Anolis sagrei: one gene and its partners. The protein of the gene in region 3 purifies or fractionates together with the protein of the main gene of each other region. This does not show direct contact. Links are inferred from orthologs where the notes say so. Each region holds a gene or a part of one and is shown on either strand. Other genes may lie near its edges. The genes, in order: CEP78, DYRK2, DCAF1 and COPS4.

Evidence for each region.
Region 1: the proteins of DCAF1 (region 3) and CEP78 purify together in Homo sapiens (affinity purification with western blotting; 3 studies listed by BioGRID, with this or other methods). This does not show direct contact. The link is inferred for Anolis sagrei from reciprocal best matches to the Homo sapiens genes DCAF1 and CEP78.
Region 2: the proteins of DCAF1 (region 3) and DYRK2 purify together in Homo sapiens (affinity purification with western blotting; 5 studies listed by BioGRID and IntAct, with this or other methods). This does not show direct contact. The link is inferred for Anolis sagrei from reciprocal best matches to the Homo sapiens genes DCAF1 and DYRK2.
Region 4: the proteins of DCAF1 (region 3) and COPS4 purify together in Homo sapiens (affinity purification with mass spectrometry; 4 studies listed by BioGRID, with this or other methods). This does not show direct contact. The link is inferred for Anolis sagrei from reciprocal best matches to the Homo sapiens genes DCAF1 and COPS4.

The regions. Positions count from the first base shown.
Region 1 is NC_090025.1:190,094,693-190,102,269, reverse strand, and holds the start of CEP78 (centrosomal protein of 78 kDa), read left to right. Parts: upstream 1-4,568; 5' UTR 4,569-4,692; intron 4,693-5,748; 5' UTR 5,749-5,764; coding exon 5,765-6,017; intron 6,018-7,577. UniProt on the Homo sapiens protein: Centriole wall protein that localizes to mature centrioles and regulates centriole and cilia biogenesis. Involved in centrosome duplication: required for efficient PLK4 centrosomal localization and PLK4-induced overduplication of centrioles.
Region 2 is NC_090025.1:142,756,786-142,764,370, reverse strand, and holds the start of DYRK2 (dual specificity tyrosine-phosphorylation-regulated kinase 2), read right to left. Parts: upstream 3,020-7,585; 5' UTR 2,901-3,019; coding exon 2,849-2,900; intron 1,771-2,848; coding exon 1,604-1,770; intron 1,223-1,603; exon of another isoform or gene 1,144-1,222; coding exon of another isoform or gene 1,099-1,143; intron 1-1,098. UniProt on the Homo sapiens protein: Serine/threonine-protein kinase involved in the regulation of the mitotic cell cycle, cell proliferation, apoptosis, organization of the cytoskeleton and neurite outgrowth. Functions in part via its role in ubiquitin-dependent proteasomal protein degradation.
Region 3 is NC_090022.1:70,977,797-70,984,909, forward strand, and holds the start of DCAF1 (DDB1- and CUL4-associated factor 1), read left to right. Parts: upstream 1-4,093; 5' UTR 4,094-4,252; intron 4,253-7,113. UniProt on the Homo sapiens protein: Acts both as a substrate recognition component of E3 ubiquitin-protein ligase complexes and as an atypical serine/threonine-protein kinase, playing key roles in various processes such as cell cycle, telomerase regulation and histone modification.
Region 4 is NC_090025.1:17,418,252-17,425,236, reverse strand, and holds the start of COPS4 (COP9 signalosome complex subunit 4), read right to left. Parts: upstream 3,014-6,985; 5' UTR 2,984-3,013; coding exon 2,910-2,983; intron 1-2,909. UniProt on the Homo sapiens protein: Component of the COP9 signalosome complex (CSN), a complex involved in various cellular and developmental processes.

The DNA of each region.
Region 1 (7,577 bases), on a different chromosome or scaffold from region 3:
ATGTCTTGATTCAGCTGCTTTGCACTTTAATCAAGATATAAAAATGGAATATAAATAAAAATAAATACACTAATAACAATATATAAATATATAAAAGACACAACAGAACCAAAAAGCTTCAGAAGGATTAAAAGAAGCATAGTATCAGATGGGCCTTGTTTTGTGAAGCAATCTAAATGTAAATTGTAGATTTACAAAAATTATAGATTAAAAAAAAGATTTACAAAACTGCTATGAGACGTTCTTGCTCAGTGGCCAGAAAATGAGGAAAGGTTACTGAGCGTAGCTTGCTGACTATTATAGAGTAAGAATAGTCCCCAGAAAATTCAAGAAATAACATAGTAAAATACAAAACATGTAAAAGACACAGTGGAGCCAAAAAAGCCCCAGAAGAATTAAAATAACAATAATATTATCGTCCTTGTGAAGCCAAGTCTGTGGAAGCAACTGAAATCCACTCTTACCTACTTTAGTCCTTGGCTTTGCTATGCCAGGTGTAATTAATCCGGCATGCTAGTTGTGCGTCGTGGTATTTAACAACATATCCATTCAAGTATGCATGATAATGCCTTTTTCCCCTAAATGGATTAAGAATATATTCCATCCAGTGGTCAGCATAATAAAGACTCCAGAATCATAGTAAAGTAAGTGAAGTCGTCTCAATGTGGCTGGAATCCTTTGGGTTAATTTCTCCTGAAGTTGACCCATTGAGGAAAACTAGTCCGGACTAAGAAAATGATTTAGTTTTGTCCCTAAATGTTATATCTGTTGCTTATGCTATAACCACTCATTTGTTATAGTGAAAGACTATAGAACAGGCATGGGCCAACTTGGGCCCTCCAGGTGTTTTGGACTACAACTCCCACAATTCCTAACAGCCTACCAGCTGTTAGGAATTGTGGGAGTTGTAGTCCAAAACACCTGGAAGGCCCAAGTTGGCCCATGCCTGTTGTATAGTGTGGTGCCAAGTGATATTTCAAAGATACTTCTTTTTATATATATATAAAAAATAATGTATACATCCATGTTGTAAATGTGTGTTGTAAATATTGTGTATTTGTACAGAAAAGACTCAATATGTTTACTTGACATTCTCCCCCCCCCCTTTCATGTAAAAGCACAGTGGAGAGATGTCCGCCTCGTAATAATACATTTTATCCCAATAATCATGAGTAAAACCCAAAAAACTATGGAAAAAAATTATTCTCGCAGCCATATTTCAATAAACCGTGGAAGTGTTTCAACTGTTATGTTCCCTTTGTTTCAAATGGGTATTTTTGGATAATCAGAAAAAGAGATTTTACATGAAATTAGTATAGATTTCTTCTGTTTTTATGTTTGAAATTTGTGGCCTGCTTTTGAAGACATTGAGTGTTTCTACGCTATAGAATTAATGCAGTTTTGACACCACTTCAGCAAAATCACAAATGGGTCTCGATTTATCTGCAAAGAACAAGTTTTTCAGTGCTTCCAGTCATTTTAATTGTATGTTTTAATTCTATTTAAATATCTGTATATTTAAATATCTGTATAACTGATTTTTTTAAAAAAAATACTGTGGGTCTTTGTGGGATATAAATATTCCTAATAATAATAATAATAATAACTCCATGAAAGGAAAGGAAAAGAGAAGGGAGGGAAGAAAACAAAACTCCATGGACAGTTTCTGGCAAAAATTGAGAGCCAAATTGACAAAGAAAAAACATGGCTGTGGCTCACAAATGGAACTTTGAAAAAGGAGACAAAGAAGGGCCTGATTCTGGAAGCCCAAGAACAAGCCATTCGAACCAATGCCATCAAAGCCAGAATTGAAGTCGACAACAGATCCCAAATGTAGACTCTGCAAGGAAGCAGATGAAACAATAGATCACATTCTCAGCTGCTGCAAGAAGATTGCGCAGACAGACTACAAGCAGAGGCATAACACGGTTGCTCAGATGATTCATTGGAACTTGTGCCACAAATACCATCTGCCAGATTACAGGTTCGAATCCAGAGAGAGCATGGATGAGCTCCCTCTGTCAGCTCCAGCTCTCTATGTGGGGACATGAGAGGAGCCTCTCACAAGGATCGTAAAAATCCGGGTGTCCCCCTAGGCAAAGTCCTTGCAGATGGCCAATTTTCTTACACCAGAAGCGACTTGCAGTTTCTCAAGTTGCTCCTGACATGAAAAAAAACTTGCCCTGATTGATTCTTTTCTAGAATTCCCCTGCTTTTTGAGTGTTGTGCTTTATTTACTGTCCTAATTCTAGAGGATTTTTTAAATAGTGCTAGCCAGATTTTTTTTCATTTTCATGGTTTCCTCCTTTCTGTTGAAATTGTCCACATGCTTGTGGATTTCAATGGCTTCTCTGTGACATGGTGGTGTGAGAGTGGTCCAGCATTTCTGAGTTCTCAAATAAGATGCTGTGTCCAGGTTGGTTCATCAGGCGCTCTGCTGTGGTTGACTCCTCTATTTGAATCAGTCTGCAGTGTCTTTCATGTTCCTTGATTCGTGTTTGGGCAATGATGCGTTTGGTGGCGCAATGGATTAAACCCTTGTGCTGGCAGGACTGAAGACTGACAGATCAGAGGTCGAATATAGGAAGAGCTTGAGTGAGCTCACTTTGTCAGTTCCAGCTCCTCATGCAGAGACATGAGAGAAGCTCCCCTCTGTCAGCACTAGCTTCCCTACCAACCTAGCAGGAATTGTGGGAGTTGAAGTCCAAAACACCTGGAGGGCTCAAGTTCGCCCATGCCTGAGTTAACCTATTGCGGCGCCGCAAATAAATATAGCTTATTAATTATAGTAAATATTAAATAATATGCTATAAATAAAATAAATAAGAATTTTTCCTGTCTCTGTGAAAAGTCCTCAGCCCATAATATAGAATGTTTGGGTTGTTGTAGGTTTTCCAGGCTATATGGCCATGTTCTAGAGGCATTTTCTCCTGACGTTTCGCCTGCATCTCTGGCAAGCATCCTCAGAGGTAGTGAGGTCTGTTGGAAGTAGGAAAATGGGATTATATATCTGTGGAATGACCAGGGTGGGACAAAGGACTTTTGTCTGCTGGAGCTAGGTGTGAATGTTTCAATTGACCACCTTCATTAGCATTTAATGTCTTGGAAGTGCCTGGGGGAATCTTTCTTTGAGAGGTGATTTGATGTGTTAAATAATATGTTATAAATAAAATAAATAAGAATTATTCCTGTTTCTGAAAAGTCATCAGCCCAAAATATAGAATTTTTGGCTTTCCTACTTTTTCTCTCTCTCTCTCTATAATTATAACTATAAATAAAATAAATAAGAATTTTTCCTGTCTCTGTGACAAGTCCTCAGCCCAAAATATAGAATATTTGACATCCCTACTTTAATACACACACACAAATATATATAGTAGGAAAGTCAAAATATTATAAATAATATTATAAATAAAATAAATAAGAATGGTTCTTGTCTCTGTGAAAAGTCCCCATATATATATATATATATATATATATATATATATACACACACACACACACACACACATACATATACATACATACACACACACAATATTATAAATAATATTATAAAAATATTATAATCTCAGATTAGGAATTCCCCATCCCAAGTCCTAGAAGCACTTTAGTACAATTAATATTGCTGCACACCAGACTATTTTAACCCTACGTGCCTCCTGCCATTTCAGCACTTTTAACCCTGTACCCCATTGCTCTGGCCGGCCCAGTTTTAAAGTATCCTGATGTATTGTCACTGTTGTTATTCTGCTTAACTATTTTGATTTGCTTTGTTTATTGTTGTGTTATGTTTTTACTGTATTGTGTTCTGAGGCTTCGGCCTGTGTAAGCCGCATCGAGTCCCTCGGGAGATGCTAGCGGGGTACAAATAAAGTTAATAATAATAATAATAATAATAATAATAGATAAAATAAATAAGATTTTTTCCTGTTTCTATGAAAAGTCCTCAGCCCAAAACATAGCATATTTGGAATCCCTACTTTAATATATACACACACACGCATATATATAGTAGGAAAGCCAAAATATTATGAATATTATAAATAAAATAAATAAGAATGGTTCTTGTCTCTGTGAAAAGTCCTCAGCCCCAAATATAGAATGTTTGGCTTCCCTACTTTCTTATATATTATATATTCTTATATATTATATATTCAAATATATATCCCTTTATAATAAGGAATTTGTGAAATGCAAGCTTTCCCGCCATCTATTTAAATTAACTAAGAATGGCAAAATAAGGGGAGGAGCGTTAGATTCAAAGGGGGCGTGGTTTTACGGGATGGCCAATCATGTGGCACCTTTCAACGCATCACGTGACGACGGTAGCGGCAAGGGGGTGGAGTTATGTCTGAGGAAACAAGGGAATGGGAGGGGGAAGAAAAGGGCCGCGTTTGTACGGACCGACCAATCAGAAGCTTCGCTTATGAATCACGTGGGAGGACTACAAAAAGGGGCGGGGTTATGTGTGAGGAAAAGAGCAAGAATGAAAGTGTCTGTAGAGAGGAAAGGGGCGTGTTTTGGTGGTCCCGCCCCCTTCCTCTCCCTCTCTTCCAATCAGAGCCTCTTCTCCGCGTCACGTGGGAGGGTGGGAGTAGGAAAAGGGCAGTTGGGGAACCAAGGCAACGGTTACCACACGCGCGAGGGGGAGGAGCCTAAGCCAGCCTTGGATGTTTTGGCCTCCTGCTTGTAAGTAACCAAATAGGAGTAGCATTGTATTGGCTTTGAATGGCTTCAGCGTGGTTTAAATGCCTATCTCTTTGGAATGTGTCCAGAGGAGAGTGACTAAAATGATAAAAGGTCTGGAGAACAAGCCCTATGAGGAGCGGCTAAAGGAGCTGGGCATGTTTAGCCTGAAGAAGAGAAGGCTGAGAGGGGATATGATAGCCATGTATAAATATGTGAGAGGAAGCCACAGGGAGGAGGGAGCAAGCTTGTTTACTGCTTCCCTGGAGACTAGGACAAGGAACAATGGCTTCAAACTACAAGAAAGGAGATTCCATCTGAACATGAGGAAGAACTTCCTGACTGTGAGAGCCGTTCAGCAGTGGAACTCTCTGCCCCGGAGTGTGGTGGAGGCTCCTTCTTTGGAAGCTTTTAAGCAGAGGCTGGATGGCCATCTGTCAGGGGTGATTTGAATGCAATGTTCTTGCTTCTTGGCAGGGGGTTGGACTGGATGGCCCATGAGGTCTCTTCCAACTCTTTGATTCTATGATTCTTTTAATATATATGTTTGCAATGGTTTTATGTTATTACTCTATGCATTTAAAGGCTTTATCTATTCATTTTAATTAATTTAATTTAATTTAAAGCTTTGAGGAGAGAGGATAAGAATTCAACCTTATTGTATTGTCTAAGGATGTCATGCCTGGAATCACTGGGTTGCTGTGAGTTTTCTGGGCTGTTTGGCCATGTTCCAGCAGCATTCTCTCCTGACATTTCGCCCACATCCATCGCAGGCATCTTCAGAGGTTGTGAGGTTTGTTGGGAAACTAGGAAAATTGGGTTTATATATCTGTGGAATAATGTCCAGGGTGGGAGAAAGAACCTTTGTCTGTTTGAGGCAAGTGTGAATGTTGCCTCAAACATAGATTCAGGCAAAATGTTAGGAGAGAATGCTTCTGGAACATGGTCATAACATCCCGAAAAACGTACAGCAACCTATTCAAACTTATTATATGTGTGTAGTAGTAGTAGTTAAAATGACATTAATGATATATTTGTGTTTGTTTTCCTCCTTTTTAGTGTTGACTCTCCAGAAATGATCGAATCAGTCCAAATAAGGAGGCAGTGCAGCCTGGACTTTTACTCCCATTATGAGCACCTGTGTGCAGTTCAAGGCTGCGCTCCCCTCGTGTCCGTGCAGGCCAAAAAGCCTGAAGGCGTGATTGATATAAACGCAGACCGTATCAAAGGTGCAGACTGGTTGCCTCTCCTGGCTGCGCTCAGGCACAACAAGACCTTGACTTCGATCGCCATCAAGAGCTTGCACCATCAGGGACATGCAGACCCAGGTAGGGACTCTTTCAATGGCAAAGCATCATGCTATCTTTGTTGTCGAAGGCTTTCATGGCCAAATCACTGGGTTACTGTGAGTTTTCCAGGCTGTAGGGCCACGTTTCAGTAGCATTCTCTCCTTATGTTTGGCCTGCATTTGTTGTTGGCATCTTCAGAAGTATGAACCCCTGGTGTTGCAGTGGGTTAAACCCTTGTGCCGGCAGCAGGGAAGACGGACAGGTTGGAGGTTTAAATCAGGGAAGAGTAGGAATGAACTCCCTCTGTCAGCTCCAGCTCCCCATGCGGGGACATGAGAGAAGCGTCCCTCAAAGATGGTAAAACATCAAAACATCCAGGCATCCTCTGGACAACGTCCTTGCAGACAGCCAATTCTCTCACACCAGAAGTGACTTGCAGTTTCTCAAGTCACTTCTGACATGAAAAAAAATCTTCAGAGGTCTGTTGGAAATGAGGCAAGTGGGGTATATGTCTGTGGAATGTCCTAGATGAGAGATAGAATCCTTGTCTGTTTGAAGCAACAACGACCAGGCTTTGCAACTGCAAGGCTACTCAATGCTCATCAAGCTGGTTAATTGCATCATCCAAACTTGCTTCAAACAGCCAATCGATCCAGCTGAAAATGAATCTGATTGCAAAGATGAAATGGCATGATGGGTTGCCACGGTAAAAATTTTATTTTATTTTATTTATTTGCAACATTTATATGCCACCCTTCTCACCCCGAAGGGGACTTAGAGCAGCTTACAAGATATATATATATACATACAATATAGTATATTATTAGCATGGTACAATATCAGTATTAAATATTACTATATTGTACTATACCATTATATTGTAATACTAGGCATCCCCTGCCACGCATTGCTGTGGCCCAGTCTGTGTATATGTATTGTGCATGTGTATATATGTGTGTGTGTATATGTATATATGTGTTTTTGTGCATGCGTTGTAATGTGTTTTTTTTTTAAAAATTGACTTCTTACGGGCTTTGATTATGTTTTCTTGCCCAGGTGAAGGGAGTTGGACTGGATGACTTTAAGTATTTTCTGTTGATCATGGAGGTTCTGTGTGGGAAGTTTGCCCAAATTCTGTCATTTGTGGGGTTCAGAATGCTCATTGATTGTAGGTGAACTATAACTCCCAGTAACTACAACTCCCAAATGTCAAGGTCTATTTCCCCAAAGCCCATCTGTGTTCATATTTGTGCATATTGAGTATTCATGCCAAGTTTGGCCCAGATCCATCATTGTTTGAGTCCATAGTGCTCTCTGGATGTAGGTGAACTACAACTCCCAAACTCAAGGTCAATGCCCACCAAACCCTTCTAGTGTTTTATGTTGGTCATGGGAGTCCTATGTGCCACGTTGGGTTCAGTTTCATCATTGGTAGAGTTTAGAATGCTCTTTGATTGTAGGTTGATTATAAATCCCAGCAACTACAACTCCCAAATGACAAAACCATTTTTTGAGTGATGGTCACTCCTTGGGTTAGTAGGTGTATTGGGTCCAAATTTGGCGGCAATTCATCCAGTGGTTTTTGAGTTATGTTAATCC
Region 2 (7,585 bases), on a different chromosome or scaffold from region 3:
GAAATATATTCTGCCCTTCTCCACCTTCCATAAATAGATCATCATGCTTGAGAAGTTCCCTCCCTTGTAGCAGATTAGCTGCAACTTGAAGATTATGTGAGAAACCACAGCCTTGCAAATAATGCCAACACCTGTTTCCCTAGTGAATGGTGTTTACAAGGGCAGTGTCACACTCCAGCCTACTTTACTGTCTCTGGCTGTTCCACTGGAAATGGATCATCAGGTCTGGGGTGGTCTAACAACTAGTCTAAAATCAGGACAGTAAAGAAAGAGCAACACCCAAAAAGCAGGGAAATCCAGACAAGAATCAATCAAGGCCAGCTAACGTCTCCCAACAAAGAATCCCCCCCCCCCGACAGCAACTTGCCAGACTTTGAAGCTGCAAGGCCATTCAAAGCTAATCAAGGTGGCCAATTCCAACATTCACACTTGCCTCAAGCAGACAAGAGTTCTTTCTCCCACCCTGGACATTCAACAGATATATAAACCCCAGTTGCCTTGTTTCCAACAGATCCCTCAACCTCTGAGGATGCCTGCCATCAATGTGGGTGAAACATCAGGAGAGAATGCTTCTGGAACATGGCCATACATCCCGTAAAATTCACAGCAACCCAAAATAAGAACTTTTCTTTTAGTTCTGAGAGGTGAATCCTTTGTCATAAAACGACTAACTACATCTTCCAGAAACACTCTTATAACCACACTGCATTGACTAGACTGTACCAAAAACTTGTTGAGAAAATGACAGCCACCAGAAAGATGACCAAACCAGCAGTGGCTTTTCAGTCCAGCCACAAGGACCGTTCTTTCTCACCTCGTCAACCTCCTGAGCAGGCCCCTTTTTATTTTCCTTTGTTTCAAATCCATCACCCAGCACTGAAATCTTGAATGAGCCTCAGAGAGAAAGATGCAAAAGCCTCCTCCAGTTGTGATGTGAGCGATGCAACACCCTTGCATGGCTCACACAGGTGACCTGACTGGAGGGCTCCATCTCTCCTTGCCAAAGTGGCCCAGAGCGTTCATCAGTCTCCAGAGCGCCTCCAGACCTTGCTTCTCCCCTCTTACCCTTCTGCCCCTCTACAACGAAATCACAAGTACCTGTTGAAACCAGACAGGGAAGAGGACTAGGACGTGTTGAGACATGCCGGCGGTGGCGGGGAATTAATGGGGCTCCTCCATGCCCTGGAAAGCAAGCTCATGCCCACCTCCCACTCAGACAGGCTGGCTGGCAGCCTGACTGTACCTTGCAGATTGCTTGCTATTAATACCCAGGAAAGGAGGAGAAGGAGGAGCAGAAGCAATTGGGGGAGGCAGTGGAGGGGGGGGGGCTTATGAGTGGCTGGCATTCAAGTCTTCTGGGGATGGATGGGAGGGAGGAGGGTCCAAGGTTGGCACGGGGGGGGGGAGAGCAGAAGCAATTGGGGGAGGCAGTTGGGGGGGGCTTATGAGAAGCTGGCATTCAAATCTTCTGGGGATGGGGATGGAGGGGAGGGAGAGAGAGATAGAGCGAGGGAGAGTCCAAGGTTGACACTGAGCAGATCATATATATATACCCATCCCTCCAAAGCCCCCACCCTTAAATCCCGGCCTCGCTCTTCCTCACCGTGTGGGCAGCGCTGCTGGGCTTGAGCGGCGGCAAAGCGATGGGCGAAGGCGGTCCAGCGGTGCCCGGTCCGGCCCGGGAGGCCCCTCCGGCGCCGAGGCCTGGCGAAGGCTGGCACTGGAGGGCGCCCTCCCCTCCTCCTCCTCCTCCTGCTACTGCCCTGCTGCCTGAGGAGGGAGAAGAAGCCAGAAGAGAGAGGCTAAAGAGGAGAGCCTGAGAGGGTCCAGGAAGAGGAAGTGGGGGGGAAACACAACAGAGGGAGCCCCCCCGCCCCCTCCTCTATTGCGGAGGGGTGGGGGATGGGGTGCTCGCGAGGGGAGGGAGGGGCGATCCCTTCCCCTCGGGTCAACCTTCCTTCATCCACGGTCAACCCACACGCCGCAGAGGCAGAAGGGAGAAGCCAGGGGGGATTTGAGTGGCGTGCAGTCCCCTCCTCCCTCCCCCCTCCTTTCTCCGCTTGGTCTGGGGCCTCGATGGCAGGGAAGGGTCTTCACGCAGAGCCCGATCCAAGGCCAGCCCAGGAACCCCACTCCAAGTGGGTTTTTGCCTGTCCCCGTTTCCCTCAAGGGGGGAAGAGATGACCCTGCAACGCCGACTATAGAAGCGTCGCTGTCCTCTAGGAGCCCTTCCACACAGCCCTATAGCCCAGAAGATCAAGGCAGAAAATGCCACAATATCGGAGTGTGGACTTAGGGCCCTTCCACACAGCCCTATAGCCCAGAAGAACAAGGCAGAAAATGCCACAATATCTGCTTTGAACTGGGTTATCTGAGGGCCCTTCCACACAGCCCTATCTCCCAGAAGATCAAGGCATAAATCCCATATTATCTGAATGTGGACTCAGTTCAAAGCAGATATTGTGGGATGTTCTGCCTTGATATTCTGGGGCTGTGTGGAAGGGCCCTAAGTCCACATTCAGATCTTCTGCCTTGATCTTCTGGGATATAGGGCTGTGTGGAAGGGCCCTGAGTCCGCACTCAGATATTGTGGCATTTTCTGCCTTGATCTTCTGGGGCTGTGTGGAAGGGCCCTAAGTCCACATTCAGATCTTCCGCCTTGATCTTCTGGGATATAGGGCTGCGTGGAAGGGCCCTAAGCCCACGCTCAGATATTGTGGGATTTTCTGCCTGGATCTTCTGGGCTGTAGGGTTGCCCTTGGACCTGCGGCGCCGGGCCTTCCTCCAAGGGCCTTTCCCACTGGGGGCTGGGCCCCGCTGCCCTGTCCAACCCCTCGCTCAATCTCACCAGCAGCAGCGGCTCCTCCAGCCCCGGCAGCAGGTTTCCTGGTGGTTAACATGGCCGCTGGTGGGGAAGGACTGGGGAGCGCATCTCAGGGCTGCTGCTGCTGCTGCTGCTGCTCCGCCTGCGCCTCCTCCTCCTCCGCCTCCTTCTCTTCCTCCTGGCGCTCCTCTCCTCCGCGCTGGGCGCCGGCGTTGCCTCGCGAGCCCCCAGGCCCCGGCCCCTCCGCGGCATCCGTCCCCCAAGAGCCCGGGCCCGCCGCCGGGCAGAAGCAGCCCCGCGCGCCCCGCCCGGCCTCGGCCTCCGCTCTCTCCTCCTTCCCCTTCTCCTCCTCCTCCTCCTCCTCCTCCTCTCCTCCTTGCTCCGGAGGCACCAAAGGCATCACCCGGGCAGCGTCCAGGGTCCCCCGGTGCCTTCGCGGGAGGAAGGGGAGGGGGGCGGCAGCATGAGGGGCTCCCTTCTTCCACCTCCCTCCCTCCCTCTTGCCTTCCTTCTCGTTCTCCTCCCCTTCAGAGAGACAAACACAGGCGGAGCGACCGCCTCGAGCCCAAGGAGGGAGGGGGGCAGCCAAGTTAAGCCCCGCCCCCTCGCCCTTAGCCCCGCCCCTCACACTTTCCCCGAACCCTCTCCTCTCACTCCCTGGCTCGGATCTGACAGAATGGCAGCCCCTCCCCGGCGCGACACACTCTCCCCTTCAAAGAGGCAAACACAGGCGGAGCGACCGCCTCGAGCCCAAGGAGAGGGGCTAGCAAGCCAAGCCCCGCCCCTCGCCCTTGGCCCCGCCCCTCACACTTTCCCCGAACTCTCTCCTCACTCACTGGCTTGGATCTGACAGAGTGGCAGCCCCTCCCCGGCCCTGGATTGAATTGAAAGGCGAGGGAGGCGGCGATGTGCAGCCCCTCCCTCTTCCCTTCCTCCTCCTCCTTCTCCTCCTCCTCCACACACGTAGGCAGTGGCTACTGCTCGCCCCGGGCCACGCAAAAGAGGGGGAAGAGGGTGCTCGCCTCAGGCCCTTTCTCCTTTCCCCCCCGCGGCGCCTTCACTTTGTGAGAAGAGAGAGCGGCCGTCGACGAGAAACAAAAGATTTCAGATTGTAGGGAGGCCAAATAACGTGGGGCACGTCCTGAAAGAGAAAAGGAGCCGCTCTTCCAAATGGGGCGCGAGGCCATAGAAGGAGGGGGCGAGGAGACGCAATCAGCATCCTAACAATAGTAGTATTTCCTGCCCAAATCTCCTCGTGGCTCGAGGCGGGTTACCACATCATAGAATCATAGAGTTGGGAGAGACCTCATGGGCCATCCAGTCCAACCCCTTGCCTAGAAGCAGGAAAATCGCATTCAAAGCACCCCCGACAGATGGCCATCCAGTCTCTGCTTAAAAGCCTCCAAAGAAGGAGCCTCCACCACACTCCAAGGCAGAGAGTTCCACTGCTGAACAGCTCTCACAGTTGGTTCTTGTGGGTTTTTTCGGGCTATATGGCCATGTTCTAGAGGCATTTCTCCTGACGTTTCGCCTGCATCTATGGCAAGCATCCTCAGAGGATGCTTGCTATAGATGCAGGCGAAACGTCAGGAGAAATGCCTCTAGAACATGGCCATATAGCCCGAAAAAACCCACAAGAACCTAGTGATTCCAGCCATGAAAGCCTTCGACAGCTCTCACAGTTCTCCCTAATGTTCAGTGGAATGTTCTTTTCTGTAGTTTGAAGCCATGTTTCTGCATCCTAGTCTCCAGGGCAGCTGAAAACAAGCTTGCTCCCTCCTCCCTATGACTTCCCCTCACATATTTATACATGGCTATCATGTCTCCTCTCAGCCTTATCTTCTGCAGGCTAAACATGCCCAACTCTTTAAGCCGCTCCTCATAGGGTTTGTTCTCCAGACTCATGATCATTTTAGTCACCCTCCTCTGGACACATTCCAGATTGTCAACATCTCCCTTCTATTGCAGTGCCCAGAATTGGACACAGTATTCCAGGTGTGATCTAGCCAAGGCAGAATAGAGGGGTAGCATTACTTCCTTGGATACAGACACTAGATTCCTATTTATACAGGCCAAAATCTCATTGGCCTTTTTTTTTTTTTTGCCACCACATGACATTGTTGGCTCATGTTTAACTTGTTGCCCATGAGGACTCCAATATCTTTTTCACACATACTGCTATCGAGTCACACATCCTCCATTCTTTGCATTTCATTTTTTTCTGTCTAAGTGGAGTATTTTGCATTTGTCACTGTTGAACTTCATTTTGTTAGTTTTGGCCCATCTCTCTAATCTATTAAGATCCTTGTGAATTCCGCTCCTGTCTTCTGGAGTATTGGCTCTCTCTCCCAATTTGGTGTCGTCTGCAAACTTGATGATCATGACTTCCAACCCTTCATCTAAGTCATTAGGAGCCCCCAGTGGCGCAGTGGGTTAAACCCCTGTGCCGACAGGACTGAAGACCAACAGGTCGCATGTTCGAATCAGGGGAAAGCGCAGAGGAGCTCCCTCTATCAGCTCCAGCTCCTCATGCGGGGACATGAGAGAAGCCTCCTACAAGGATGATAAAACATCAAAAACATCTGGGCGTCCCCTGGGCAACGTCCTTGCAGATGGTCTATTCTCTCACACCAGAAGCAACTTGCAGTTTCTCAAGTCGCTCCTGACACGACAAAAAAAAAATCCAAGTCATTAATAAAGATGTTGAACAGGACCGGGCCCAGGAGGGAACCCTGTGGCACTCCACCCATCACTTCTTTCCAGGATGAAGAGGAAGCATTGGTGAACATCTGGTGAGGAAGCCTTGGTGAGCACATCTCTAAAGATGAAACATCTCTGATGAAGGTCAGGTCTAGGACAGAGTGGGGAAAGATGGACTGGATTTTCCTCTGGAGAAAAAAGGCTAGACCAGGCATGGGCCAACTTGGGCCCTCTGGGTGTTTTGGACTTCAACTCCCACCATTCCTAACAGCCTCAGGCCCCTTTCTTTTCCCCCTCAGCCGCTTAAGTCCAAAACACCCAGAGGGCCTAAGTTTGCCCATGCCTAGGATAGACCCTGGAAAAATCAAGGGAAGCTTCATTCTATCATTATTATTCTATCATAATCTTGTAACTGAGATGCAAGGTGGACTCTTAGCAGGTTATTTTTGAAGCCACACTGAGAGGATGCCCATTGCCCAACCTAAGTGACCTCTTCTAAGGCTGTAGAAGTGTCTTTCTCTATGGGGAAATCTTGCTCTGTGTTCCTTCTCCAGAGCCCAAAGGAGAAAACCTCTCACCCCCCTTCTTTGCCTGCTACTTGAAGGAATCCCTCCCTCTCTTCGTGGGCGGAGAGTTGTTTATAAACAATGCACTGGAAAGGCAGAAGGAAGAACTTCCTTCTGAAACTCTAGAGAGAAAGAGAAAAAAAACTTTAGTGTGAGATAAGCAGGGAACAGGGAGGATGATAAGTTATCTCTTGTCCTTCTTTGGGTTTGTGCTTTCCCTTTCGAAAGAGGGCAAAGGAAAGCTTTGGAGGCAGCATAGTGTAGTGGTTTGAATGTTGGGGTGTGGGACATCCACATGCCCAATGTCTTCTTGGCAAGAGTTGTCCAGAAGGGGTTTCTTGCGACCCTCCTCAGAAGTCAAGAGTGTGGCTTGCCCAATGTCTCCAGGTGGGTTTCCAATATGATTTGAGACTGGAGCCCTGTTCTCCAGAGTCATAAGGTATATCTCTCTAAACTGTAATATGAAGACAGTTTGACACCACTTTAACTTCCTGGAGGTAATGCTATGGAATGCTGCGGATTACAGTTTGATGCAGTTTGATCTCTCCCATCAAGTGCTCTTTGGAAGAGATGTCTAAAGCCCTTGAAAACTGCCATCTTCTGTGAATCCATAGCATTGAGCCACGGCAGTTAAAGGTTTTTTTTTCATTTTTGAGAAACTGCAAATCACTTCTGGTGTGAGAGAATTTGCTGTCTGCAAGTATGTTGCCCAGGGGACGTCAGGATGTTTTACCATCCTGTGGGAAGTTTCTCTCATGTCCCGGCATGAGGAGCTGGAGCTGACAGTCAGGAGCTCACCCTGCTCCCTGGATTCAAACCACCAACCTTTCCGTTAGCAGTCCTGATCATTGTGCCACCACATGAAATTGCATTCATTCTACACTGTAGATCAGGTAGGTGCAAATTTCGGCCCTCAGGAATTGTGGGAGTTGAATCCCAAAACACCTGGAGGGCTAAAGTTTGCCCATTCCTGCTGTAGATGCACCTTATGACTCTGGAGAGCAAGACGTGAATCTCCTATAAACCACAAAAACCCACATTAGGTATGTCACACACTCTTGGCCTCGGAGGAAAACAATGGCAAAGCTCTTCTGGACAAATTGTGTCAAGAAAGCCCTGTGATAGTTTTGCCTTAGGGTAGCCCTAGGTCAGACATGACTTGAAGGCACATGGCAACAGCAAAAGAAATGTAAAGAGGGAGATCTTGTTCCTTTAACAAAACATACTCTTAATAAAACACAAATATTCCCATTGTGGAAATGAATAAAAGTGTAAGCAGTACAACACTTACTCCAGCAATTTGCCAAATGCTAACTATTGAGTGAGCATGTTTCTTTTAAACTTACTGTATATGTGGCAGATAGGAGTGGTCCATTTATAGGATTGCTGAAGGGAGAGGGAGATAAGGATGTGCTGGTGAAGAAAGAAGGAAAAAGCAGCTGTCTCAGTCTAGATAAGTAAGAGGCAAGACTGGTAACTATGCAGAATAAGGAAC
Region 3 (7,113 bases):
GACATTTTATCTAACTATGGCCAGATCAACACTAACATACCATGCAGTTTCAAAATATATTATATGGCAGTGCAGATGGGGCCCAAGAAATACAGGTTGAGTATCCCAGAAATTCAAAATGGTCCAAAATCCCAAATTGTTCACATGGGAGTCAAGATGCTTTTTGATATTTCAATGTACCCCAACTTTGTTCATGCACAAAATTATCAACAACTATTGTGTATAAAATTAGTTTCAGACATGTGCATTAGATGTGCAGTAGTTTTGTGTTTATGTTGTTACAACCCAGGGACCCCAAAAGACCCTAAAGCACACGGCCAACGAAGATGCCAGGAAGGATCTCACCAGCGAATTCCCTCAGCAGAATGGTAAGGCTAACATTCAGAGGTGACCTTTGGTTCAGTTCTTAGTTGGAGTGGGAACACAGGGCAAATCTCATTATTCCTTCAGGCAGATGACAAAATCTCTCATGACCATCCTTTTCCTTGCTACAATAAACTCTTAGAGCCGTCGCAAACTCTGTTCCTGCGAGAGAAAACCTTGCTAGCATGTCCCTGACGTCACGAGACTCCGCCTCTCTCCCCGCCCCTTTCTCTGCCCCTTTCTCCATGCGAGCGTGGTTTTTCCTTTGCTAGGGCAGCATTGCCCGCATTTTCTCTCAGTTGGCTGAATTCAACTGAGAGAAAATGCGGGCAATGCTGCCCTAGCAAAGGAAAAACCACGCTCGCAAAGAGAAAGGGGCGGAGAAAGGGGCGGGGAGAGAGGCGCAGGCTCATGACGTCAGGGACTTGCTAGCAAGGATTTCTCCAGCAGAAACCTAGTTTGCGACGGGCCTTACATCTCACAATAAACCCATCTCTGACCAGCAGGAAATATCATGGAGTCATCAAGCACCCTGCCTTTGTCTCTTCCTGAGAATCCATCCAGGTGTGCCAAAACTCATTGTCGCCCATTGTTTTGCTGGCTTAGTTCCACTGTGTCATCTGAACTGGCAGGATTATCACCCTTTAACCTGTCTATATTCCTTTATTAAAGTTCCTGTCAGACAAGGAGTCCAATCAGGTGGACGGTGCACCTCCACCAATCAGTACGCAGATTGTAGCCAGCACCAACTTGCACCAATCAGTGAATAAAGCCTCTGATCCTTGCCTTCATCCTGTGTGGTTTGAAACTTTGGAGCCCAGGCATGCCAGGAATCCAAAACTGTGGTTTAACAGAGCAGAAATCATGTATCATTTAGACTTGAATCCCATCTCCAAGATATCTCATTATGTATATGCAGTAGAAGCCCCCAGTGGTGCAATTGGTTAAACCTTTGTGTCGGCAAGATTGCTGGCCATAAGGCCAGCAGTTCGAATCCAAGGAGTGGGGTGAGCTCCTGTTTGTCAGCTCCAGCTTCCTAAGTGGGGACATGAGAGAAGCTTCCCACAGGATGGTAACACATCTGGGCGTCCCCTGGGCAACGTCCTTGCAGACAGCCAATTCTCTTACACCAGAAGCGACTTGGAGTTTCTCAAGTTGCTCTTGACACGAAAAGAAAATGTATATGCAAATATTTAATTATTTTAAAAAGAAAAAAAAACCCAAAATATTTTTGGTTCCAAGCATTTCTGATAAGGCTTCATCAACCAGTATTATGGATATGTATTGGAGTCCCTGGTGGTGCAATTGGTTAAGCCCTTGTGCCAGCAGGACTGATGTTTGAATCTGGGGAGAGCACAGATGAGCTCTCTCTGTCAGCTCCAGCTCCCCATGCAGGCACATGAGAAGCCTCCCACAGGGATGATAAAACATCAAAACATCCAGGCATCTCCTGGGCAACGTCCTTGCAGACGGCCAATTCTCTCATACCAGAAGCGACTTGCAGTTTCTCAAGTTGCTCCTGACACACACAAAAAAGGATATGTATTAATGCTTGTAACTGAAGACTATCTCACAGAATGCACTGTAAACTTAGATCATAACTTTACAATAACAAGAACACTCCTTCCAAACAGGCATGGGCAAACTTCAGTAGGCTGTTAGGAATGGTGGGAGTTGAAGTCCAAAACACCCGGAGGGCCAAAGTTTGCCCATGCCTTTTCCAAAGTATCAGTAAAATAATATAGTATATTGTATACATATATATTGATAATAATATTACAATGTAATAATACAATTTAAGAATTATATATTTTATATTACATGTGATATTGCTAATAATATTACAGCATAGTGGTACGAAATAGTAATATGTAATGTAATATGTAATGCCAATATTGTGCTGTGCTAATAATATACTATATTGTATACACATGTAATATTGATATGCACTTTACTTACTTAAACGATCCCTCAATGTCCGAGTAAGATTGTCCTCCAAGTGCGGTGTCCTGGCGGTGGGTACGTAGGTGACTGTGGAGCCCTATTCTTGACTCACATATGTTCTCCTACAGTGAGGGAATCGGTTTCCAGGTGGAAGGCGGTCCCGGTTGAGGTTGGCTTGATGTGCCTTCCTCTTGGCACATTTCTCTCTTTCACCCTCCGTTCATGCCTCTTTGAATTCTACAGCACTGCTGGTCACAGCTGATCTCCAGCTGGAGTGTTCAAAGACCAGGGCTTCCCAGTTCTCAGTGTCTATGCCAGAGATTTTAAGGTTGGCTTTGAGCCCATCTTTAAATCTCTTTTCCTGTCTTCCAACATTCCGTTTTCCGTTCTTGAGTTCGGAGTAGAGTAACTGCTTTAGGAGACGGTGTTTGGGCATCTGGACAACGTGGCCGATCCAGCGGAGTTGATGGCAGAGGACCATCACTTCAATGATGGTGGTCTCTGCTTCTTCCAGCACGCTGACATTTGTCTGCTTGTCTTTCCAAGAGATTTGCAGGATTTTTTGGAGGCAACAGTGATGGAATCGTTCCAGGAGTTGCATGTGATGTCTGTAGATAGTTTACGTCTCGCAGGCATATAGCAGGGTTGGGAGGACAATAGTACCTTGGTATAAACAAGTACCTTGGTATCCTTAAGTATGTCCCTGTCCTCAAACACCCTGTGCTTCATTCGAAAAAATGCTGCACTCACCGAGCTCAGGCGGTGTAGTATTTCAGTGTCAATGTTGACTTTGGTGGAGAGGTGCTGTCAAGGTAGTGGAAATGGTCAACATTTTCTAGTCTTACACCATTAAGCTGTATTTCTGGCATTGGAGAGGGATTGGCTGGTGACTGCTGGAAGAGCACTTTGGTTTTCTCAATGTTCAATGACAGGCCGAGCTTCTCGTATGCTTCTGCGAAGGTGTTTAGAGTGGCTTGTAGGTCTTCTTCTGAATGTGCACAGATGATGTTGTCATCAGCATACTGGAGTTCTATAACAGATGTTGTTGTGACCTTGGTTTTGGCTTTCAGTCTGCTGAGGCTGAATACAATATAATACTAATAATAAAACAATAAAATTATATATTTAATATTACATGTAATATTACTAATAATATTACAGTATAGTCGCATGGTACAATATGGGATTGTATGGTACTAATATTGCGCTATGCTAATAATATATTGTATTACATAAAACTTGTAAGCCGCTCTGAGTCCCCTTCGGGGTCAGAAGGGCGGCATATGAATGTCGTAAATAAATACATGAAAGTCCTTTGGAAGGAGAGAAGACTACGGCTCTCGACAGACATGTAGCCGGGGGGGGGGGGGGGGCTTGAGGGGCTTCAGGCCCCCCCCACCCCCGAAATTCTCATGGTGGTTCGCGAAAAGGCCTTCCTGGTGCATTATTTAAACTGTTATGTTTATTCATATCATGATCTGATCACCATACTCAATATATCTCATATGCATGGGGGTATTGGGGTAATGATACAAAAGGTTTGCTAGGCTAGACCCTCTTTCACTCAGGCTCAGCCCCCCCCCCCCGAAACCCACCCTGAAAAAAGCCCCCCCCCCCCCCGAAACGAAATCCTGGCTCCCGAAATGATTTACGGGAATGAGAAGGCGGCTGCTATGGTGACGAAGGCAGACCATGCGGTAGCCTTGGCGCATGCGCACTGGGCCCGGACTACACTTCCCGGCTTCCCTGGCGGCGCGGCGGCGACTGATGAGCGAGAGCGCGCGCGCGTGTGGTGGGGGCGACGGCGCTCGCGGGCGGTGACGCGCCAAGTGTGTGCCCGCCATAGGCAGAGCGGCCGCCGGGCGACGGTGCGTGGGGCCCGGAGGAAGGCGGAGGAGGAGGAGGAGGCCGAGGCGAGGCGACGAGGCGGCGGAAGGCCGGGCAGGTAAGGGCCGCGAGGGAAGGGAAGAGGACGGGGAAGGGAGGGAGGAGGCGCCGGGCCGAGGAGTTGAGGCCGGTGACAGGCGGAAGGAGGCCGGCTGCTGGCAAGGGGCGCCCATGTGTTCCTCAGCCCGCCTCCCTCCCTCCCTCCCTCCCTCTCTCTCTCCTCCGGCTTGTAGTGGGGAATCTGAGCCCTGGCCGCGATCCAGAGCGCGTTCACATGGGGTTGAGCCTTTCTCTCCCCTTTCTCGCTTGGCTCGGGCACCATTGAACACGCGTGGAAGAGGAAGCCGGTCTCCCTCAATGGTCCTCTCTCTCTCTCTCTTTCTCTCGCCCGCCCCCTTTCTCTCTCCGCCCCTAAAAGGCCTCACAGGGAGGTCAAAGGGCGACCAGCCTGGGGCAAAGCGGATCCTTATTCTTTCCCCTCCTCCTCCTTCCAGAACAGGCATAGGCAAACTTCGGCCCTCCAGGTGCTTTGTACTACAACTCCCACAATTCCTAACAACCGCTAGGCTGGGTTGCTGTGAGTTATCCGGGCTGTATGGCCATGTTCCAGAAGCATTCTCTCGTGACGTTTCGCCCACATCTGTGGCAGGCATTCTCAGAAGTTGTAGCCCTGCAGCCAAGCCTTGAACCTGCAAGGCTATTCAGTGCTAAATCAAGGCGATCAATTGCAGCATTCTCACTTGCCTCAAGCAGACAATAATTCTATCTCCCACCCTGGACATTCCATACACACACACACACACACACACACACCACTTGCCTAGTTTCCAACACACCTCACAACCTTTGAGGATGCCTGCCATGGATATGGGAGAAACGTCACGAGAGAATGCTTCTGGAACATGACCATGCAGCCCGGAAAACTCACAGCAACCCAGTGATCCTGGCCATGAAAGACTTCGACAACACAGTTGGTATGATGTTAGGAATTGGAGTTGTAGTCGAAAACACCTGGAGGGCTGAAGTTTGCCCATGCCTGTCCTAGAACCATACTTGGAAAGGACCTCAAGGGCCACCCAGCCCAGCCCCCTTCTGCCATGCAGGAATACTCATTCAAAGCACCTTCAACAGATGGCCATCCAGCCTATAATTAAAAACCTCCAGAGGAGACTCCACTACACTCTGATTTAGTATATCCCACTGCCTAACACAGGCATGGTAAACTTTGGCTCTTCAGGTGTTCTGGACTTCAGCTCCTGCAATTCCTAGCAGCCACTGTTAGGAATTGTGGGGATTGAAGTCCAAAACACCTGGAGGGCCGAAGTTTGCCCATGCCTGGCCTAACAGCTCTTACCACCAGGAAGTTTTTTTCCTAATGTTTTGGTGGAATCTCTTTTCTTGCAGTTTGAATCCATTGCTTCTTCTTCTAACTGGTTTCTCCTAGCTTCTAGTATTTTCTGATGCCAGCATCATTTGACCTCTCTGTCTTATCCCTGCTCTCTCCCCTCCATATCTTTGGCTTCTGTTTGTAGGGGAGGGATGATGAAGCCCTGAGTGTCAACTTCCTGGGGAGATTTAACTGCTTGAAGCCCCTTCTTGCTCTTTTTTGCACGTGATCCAGGAATAGGAGGGATTAATGTGGAGTTAGGACATTGCCCTGGAAATCGTGTTTGGGTCCATCTGCACTGTATCGTTAAAGAAGCTAGACACATTTTGAACTGCTATGGCTCAGTGCTATGGAATCATGGAAGCTATAGTTTTACAAGTTTTTAGATTTCTCTGCCCACAAATGTACAAATACCAGTATTTCACAGAATTGAGCCACGGCAATTAAAGTGGTGTCAAACTGCATTCATTCTACAATGTAATGCACCTTCGAATACCCAAAGTGGACCCTGAAAGGTGATCATAAGGTGACATCTGTGTATATGAGGGAAATGCTTTTACCTTGACAGTGGACTGTCACTGTCCACCTTTCCATTCAAAACTCGAATTGGCTTCAGGTCTACTATTTCTAGTTTCAACATAACAAACAATTTCTGAAAAAGATGGCTTGTCCCATACATTCCTTTTTCATTTTGTATTGGCAAATGTGTGTGCTGCGCATATAGAAGTTATGTATTATTTTCTCCAAGGAATATCATTACTTATCATTGTTATTACCACAAGCATGTTTGGAAAATTCCACTGAGGTTTGATCCCAGGACTCTCCATGAATACTGAAACCCATGGATGCTCAAGTCTCATTATGCAAGGTTCTAGTAAAGTGGTGTAAATGGCAAAATAAAGATTTGTATTTGGGAATTTAAAAATATTTTCAAGCCATGGAGTCTTTGGTTGCTGAAACTATAGCTCTAGAGGTCCAATTGTACTGTAGATTTCTGAGGAGATGTAATAAGTACATAGATAAATGGCAGTGTTCTGTGTTTAGACCTTTTTGTACAGGTTTGACCAGAAATACCAGGCAGGGAGAAGGCAGTTATTTTGATCCTATAGAATAAGAGTTTTTACACATATCCCATTGAAGTAAATAGCATCTAATAATTTGTACAGTAGAAGAGATATATCTGGACACCACATCTAGAAGCAGCATATGTGACTACATCTGTCACCTTCTCTGTTCTGTTGTGATTTTCTGACCTCATGGGTCATCCAGTCCAAGCAGAGGCTGGGTGGCAATCTGTTGGGAGTGCTTTGATTGTGATTTTCCTGCTTCTTGACAGGTGGATGGACTGGATGGTCCACGAGGTCTCTTCCAACTCTATGATTTGGATTTTCCCTTACCTGTATTCTGAATTGTAGCTCTTTGGTTTTGTCCCTCAGAACTCAATGAAAACTATGAACAAGTAAATGACAGCCTACATAGACAGTCTCACTTTCAATTCTTTTAAGTTTGGGTAGTTAAGAGGACACAAGACA
Region 4 (6,985 bases), on a different chromosome or scaffold from region 3:
AGGAGTGTTAAAAACATGACTTGCTGGAAAGAAAATAGTTATTTTTAACACTTTGAAAACCAGTATCTTACTCCTATTTCCTACTGCTCACTGTATAGACAAGGCAGGAGTACAAATGTATCAATAATTTAATCATTAAACAGGGTAAATCAACCAGTAAATTCCATCTGAGATGGAGATTACATCCTAACAACTGTTCAGCTGAGGGGTTAACATTATTATTTTAATATCATTTTGATAATGTTGTTGCTGTCCATTGTATATGTTTTGATTTTATTGCTGTATTATGTTGTCCAGGCTTGCCCCCATGTAAGCCGCTCCGAGTCCCCATCGGGGAGATGGTAGCGGGGTAGAAATAAAGTTTATTATTATTATTATTATTATTATTATTATTATATGTATCCACCACCAAGACACTACAATTGAAAGGCCAAAATACTCGGACAATGAGGGATAACCTAAGTAAGTAAGTAGGATCTGATGCGGAGGAACAACAGCAAAGTGCTATAGGTGACACCATATTTGTGTCCACTGACTGCACCTGTTTATTTCCTAGAAAGTCTCCACAGATCAGATGGTGATGCCTCATGGGAATACTATGTTGGGAATACTATGTTTAGTACCATAGGTTTAATAAAGGGCAAGCGGTGGCATTTGAGAAGGTGACACATACTGATCCTGATGAGTAGAGATGCAACCTCCTTCAGGGTAGGGAATGTAGCTGGGATTTTAATAATAATTGAAGAATAATTGGAATAATTGAAGGACACTGAAAAGCAAGATTTTGCTCAATTTATAAACACGTTCAACTTAGTAATTGTCTTAGAGAAAGCCTTTTGGTTGCAGTGGGAGAAATTGTTTTGAAAGATGGTTTGCTGTACATAAAACTCTCAAGGATAATAGGTTCAAGAGCAAGGAGAAGGGGAAACGATAACACCACATGCAAAGGGCATTAACAGCTGGGGATGTAAAAATAATTAATAGAAGAGAAGGAAAATGTTTGCTTGGCTAAGTGGAGGTAGGATGTTGACAAAATGTGATGAATCCATAGTGAATTAGAGAACCTGGAAGATGAAAAGGGACCCAATAAAGCAGTATTTTTTTTGGAGGGGGTCTCAGTGAGATTGCACACACACATGTTGAGATGTGTGTATGACTGTCTAACTTTTACAGGGTTTGGGTTTTTTCGGGCTATATGGCCATGTTCTAGAGCAGTGTTTCTCAACCTGGGGGTCAGGACCCCTGGGGGGGTTGCGAAGCTGTGTCAGAGGGGTTGCCAAAGACTATCAGAAAACACAGTAATTTCTGTGATCATGGAGGTTCTGTGTGGGAACTTTGGCCCAATTCTATCATTGGTGGGGTTCAGAACGCTCCTTGATTGTAGGTGAACTATAAATCCCAGCAACTACAACTCCCAAGTGTCAAGATTCTATTTCCCCCAAACTCCACCAGTGTTCACATTTCGGCATATTGAGTATTCTTGTAGAGTTTGGTCCAGATCCATCATTGTTTGAGTCCACAGTGATCTTTGGATGTAGGTGAACTACAACTCCAAAACCAAAGGACACTGCCCACCAAACCCTTCCAGTATTTTCTGTTGGTCATGGGAGAACTGCGTGCCAAGTTTGGTTCAATTCCATCGTTGACGGGGTTCGGAATGTACTTTGATTGTAGGTGAACTACAAGTCCCAGCAACTACAACTCCCAAATGACAAAATCAATTTTTTGAATGAAGGACATAAATTGGGTTGTTAGGTGTATCGTGTCCAAATTTGGTGCCAGTTGCCCCAGTGGTTTGTGAGTTCTATGGATAGCACAAACGAACATTACATTTTTATTTATATAGATTATTATTATTCATTCTACAGTGAAGATGGGCAAGGGACGGGCCAGGCCGTGTTTAAACCACTGAATCAATGCCTTCCCTGGGTTGTTGTAGGTTTTTCGGGCTATATGGCGATGGTCTAGAGGCATTCTCTCCTGACGTTTCGCCTGCATCTATGGCAAGCATCCTCAGAGATAGTGAGGTCTGTTGGAACAAGGAAAAAGGGTTTATATATCTGTGGAATGACCAGGGTGGGACAAAGAACTCTTGTCTGCGGGAGCTAAATGTGAATGTTTCAACTGACTACCTTGATTAGCATTTCATGGCCTGACAGTGCCTGGGACAATCTTTTGTTGAGAGGTGATTAGATGTCCTTGTTTGTTTCCTCTCTGTTGTTTAGCCGTTGTAATTTTAGAGTTTTTTTTTAGTACCGGGAGCCAGATTTTGTTCATTTTCATGGTTTCCTCCTTTTTGTTGAAATTGTCCACATGCTTGTGGATTTCAGTGGCTTCTCTGTGTAGTCTGACCTCACTACCTCTGAGGATGGCTGGAATCACTCAGTTGTTGTAGGTTTTTTTGGGGGCTATATGGCCATGTTCTAGAGGCATTATTTCCTGACGTTTTGCCTGCATCTGTGGCAAGCAAATTAAAAACTCTAAAATTAAAACAGCAAAACAGCAGAAGGAAAACAATCAGGGACATCTAATCACCTCTCAACAAAAGATTGCTCCAGGCACTTCCAGGCCATCAAATGCCAATCAAGGTAGTCAGCTGAAACATTCACACCTAGCTGCAACAGACAAGAGTCCTTTGTCCCACCCTGGTCATTCCACAGATATATAAACCCCTTTTTCCTAGTTCCAACAGACCTCACTACCTCTGAGGATGCTTGCCATAGATGCAGGCGAAACATCAGGAGAGAATGCCTCTAGACCATGGCCATATAGCCCGAAAAAACCTACAACAACCCAGTGATTCCGGCCATGAAAGCCTTCGACAATACAATGCCTTCCCTTCCCTTTTTGCGAGCTTCTCCTGCCCCGCTCCGCCTTCCCTCATCGAAAACCAAGAAGCCGTCGCTTACTTCCCGGCTAAATCCTTGTGGGAGCCGCTGGAGCTCATGAGCTGCGTCAACTCCTGCCTCACCGCCGCCGCCATTTTTCTTTTCTACACTTCCGGTGAGGGAAAAATAACCACGCCCCCTCCGTCGCCTCAGAAACCAATGAGGGCGGACTCTGCGTCATTCTCGAGCGCGCGCGCGTACACGCACGCACGCACAGTGACGCTTTCAACCCGGAAGTGGCTGTGTTTTTGGAGAAGGCGGGAGAAGAGTGATGACGCCGAAGCCGTTGCCAAGACGGCGGCGCTGCCGAGCTATTATGGGATGCGGCGGAATGGCGCTGGGCGCGTGATTTTGAACAAACACGGAACCGGGAGAAGGAGAGAAGGGAGAGGAGGAGGAGGAGGAGAGAGCGGAGGCGGGGGAGAGAGGGCTGCGCTTCTGGCCGCGAGGGTTTAACGGCAGCCTGAGGGCGAAGGAAGGCCTGGTGCTCGGAGGAGAAGCCTGACGGGAAACGCGCCCTGGAGTGACAGGTGCCTCATATCAACTGCATTACGGGACAGGGTAAATACACCAGGCCTGGGCCAACTTGGGCCCTCCCTCCCTCCAGGTGTTTTGGACTCCAACTCCCACAATTCCTAACAGTAGGGAAATACACAAGGCCTGGGCCAACTTGGGCCCTCCCTCCAGGTGTTTCAACTCCCACAATTCCTAACAGCCGGTAGGCTGTTAGGAATTGTGGGAGTTGGAGTCCAAAACACCTGGAGGGAGGGCCCAAGTTGGCCCAGGCCTTGTGTATTTACACTGCCGGCTGTTAGGAATTGTGGGAGTTGGAGTCCAAAACACCTGGAAGGAGGAAGGGCCCAAGTTGGCCCAGGCCTAATCCATACTGCACACCGTGTAATTTTTCCCTGTGGACAATCTGTTGTTTTTGCAGGAGCATATCTGACACATCAACTGAAACCATACATTCATTTTGGCATTTAAATAGGACACATGCTTGTTGATAGCTCCAAAACTTGTTAATCACTCCTTGATTGTTGATTGTGGGTGTTATGAGTTTTGACCGGGACAGAGCCCTGTTAAACCCCTGTGCCGGCAGGACTGAAGACCGACAGATTTTTTTTTCCAAATTTTGTTACCTAGTGTAATATGAGATAACCTCTTTATCTGTACTCATTCTATTGATTTCTCCGTGCTACTTCCACTTCCCATAGCATTGGTGCCACATAAACGTGAATTGAGGATTTTAACCCCCCCCCCCCCCCCGTGGCACAGTGGGTTAAACCCTTGTGCCAGCAGGACTGAAGACCAACAGGTCAGAGGTTCAAATCGGGGAAAATGAGGGTGAGCTCCCTCTGTCAGCTCCAGCTCCCTATGCAGGGACATGAGAGAAGCCTCCCACAAGGATGATAAAAACATCAAATCATCTGGGCATCCCCTGGGCAACGTCCTTGCAGACGGCCAATTCTCTCACACCAGAAGCAACTTGCAGTCTCTGAAGTCGCTCCTGACACAACAACAACCAAAAAAAAACCCAGGGACAGAAATTTATTATTTATTAATTATTTATTTATTTCCAGTATTTATGTACCGCCTTTCTCACCCTTGGGGGGACTCGAAGCAGTTTACACATAAATAATGGCAAAATTCAATGCCTTACATTGGGCACCGATACGATGCCAATACAAACAAATAGCATATTTAATGTATTGTCGAAGGCTTTCATGGCTGGAATCACTCAGTTCTTGTGGGTTTTTTCGGGCTATATGGCCATGTTCTAGAGGCATTTCTCCTGATGTTTCGCCTGCATCTATGGCAAGCATCCTCAGAGGTGAGGTCTACTGGAAATGGGAAAAAAGGGGTTTATATATCTGTGGAATGGCCAGGGTGAGACAAAGGGGCTTTTGTAAGTTGGGCTGGGTGTGAATCTTTCCACTGACCACCTTGATTAGCATACAATGGGCTGACAGTGCCTGGAGCAAACTCTTCTTGAAAGGTGATTAGATGTCCCTGCCTGTTTTTCTCCCTGCTGTTTTGCTGTTGCAATTTTAGAATTTTTTAATACTGGTAGCCAGATTTTGTTCATTTTCATGGTTTCTTCCTTTCTGTTGAAATTGTCCACATGTTTGTGGATTTCAATGGCTTCTCTGTGTAGTCTGACATGGTGGTTGTGAGAGTGGTCGAGCATTTTTGTGTTCTCAAATAATATGCTGTATCCAGGTTGGTTCATCAGGTGCTCTGCTATGGCTGACTTCTCTGGTTGGAGTAGTCTGCAGTGCCTTTCGTGTTCCTTGATTCGTGTTTGGGCGCTGCGTTTGGTGGTCCCTATGTAGACTTGTCCACAGCTGCATGGTATATGGTAGACTCCTGCAGAGGTGAGAGGATCCCTCTTGTCCTTTGCTGAACGTAGCATTTGTTTGATTTTCTTGGTGGGTTTGTAGATAGTTTGTATGTTGTGTTTTCTCATCAGCTTCCCTATGCGGTCAGTGGTTCCCTTGATGTATGGCAGGAACACTTTTCCTCTGGGTGGATCTTCATCTTTACCGTACTCTCGTGGCTTGTTCTTGGTCTTGAAGCTCTCCTGATGTCTGAGGTGGAGTATCCATTGGCCTGGAGAGCCCAGTTGAGGTGGTTCAGTTCATCTTGGAGGAGGTGGGGTTCACAGATTCTTTTTGCACTGTCTGTCAAGGCTTTAATGGTGCTTCTTTTTTGACTTGGGTGATGGTTGGAGTTTTTATGTAGATATCTATCTCTGTGTGTGGGTTTTCTGTAAACTGTGTGATCCAATTGTTGATCTGGTTTACGGATGACTAGGACATCTAGAAAAGGCAGTCTTCCTTCCTTTTTCCATAGTGAACTGGATGTTAGCATATTTGCTCCTTGATTGTTGATCATGGGTGTTGTGTGTTTTGACAGAGCCAGAAATAGCATTAAGCAACTGGTGAAACCAAAACAAAGGCTCTGCTATAAAGGGAAGTTTTACAAATCAGCACTAAAGGTTACCATTAGAAATAATATAAGAAGCCCCCCCCCCCAAGTATTTGGCAAGAATCAGATGTGTATTTTTTTGTATCAGGAGCAATTTGAGAAACTGCAAGTTACTTCTGGTGTGAGAGAGTTGGCCGTCTGCAAGGACGTTTCCCAGGGGGATGCCCAGGTGTTTTTGATGTTTTGCCATCCTTGTGGGAGGCTTCTCTCATGTCCCCACATGGGGAGCTGGAGCTGACAGAGGGAGCTCATCTGCGCCCTCCCCGGAATGAGATGACTGTTCAAGAATACAGTCCCAGAATATGCCAACAGAAACATTTCCTTGTATTGTCGAAGGCTTTCATGGCCGGAATTACTGGGTTCTTGTAGTTTTTTTCGGGCTATATGGCCATGTTCTAGAGAAATTCTAACATTTCCAAAACATGCTACGTACTAAGAACTGACTGCTTTGGAGTGTGGTAGAAGCTCCTTCCTTGGAAGCTTTTAAACAGTGGACGGATGGCCATCTGTTAGGGGTGCTTTGATTGTTTTCCCTGCATGGCAGGAGGTTGGACTAGATGACCAGTGTAGATTAGGCATGGGCCAACCTTTGTCACTCCTGGTAATGTCTGAGAGTAGAAAGCCCAAAAGGGGAAGTAGTTTGAAGTTGGCATGAAGAGTGGGAAGAAGGAGGCATGACAGCTCTTATAAGGGAGGGAAAGCCAAACACATTGCTTTCCCTTTCTCCTTGGTTTCCTTTGACAGGACTCGTCCAGCTGGCTTGTGGGAAGGGAAGGGACAGGGTGGGCGGGTGTGGGATGAAGGGGTTGGCTGCCGTAGTTTCTGCCCTTCCCTGTCCTGTTCCACATTCTCCTCCCCCTGTTTTTATTAGGAACTACTGCTTCAGGTGCTGAGCCAGTGGTGTAAGCGTAATAGCATTTTGATGGAAGATTGAGGCATGATTGTTAGGGTTGGAATGAGTATAGGAAGCCTTGGCATGGCAGGAGAAACAGGAAAACTCTAGCTGATATTTAGCCTCAAGTGGCTGGCATGTTGCTGAGCCAGGTGATGAGGAGGTGGGGAAGGAAAACATCACTTCTGCTGACAGACTGTCGAGATTTAGTGTCATA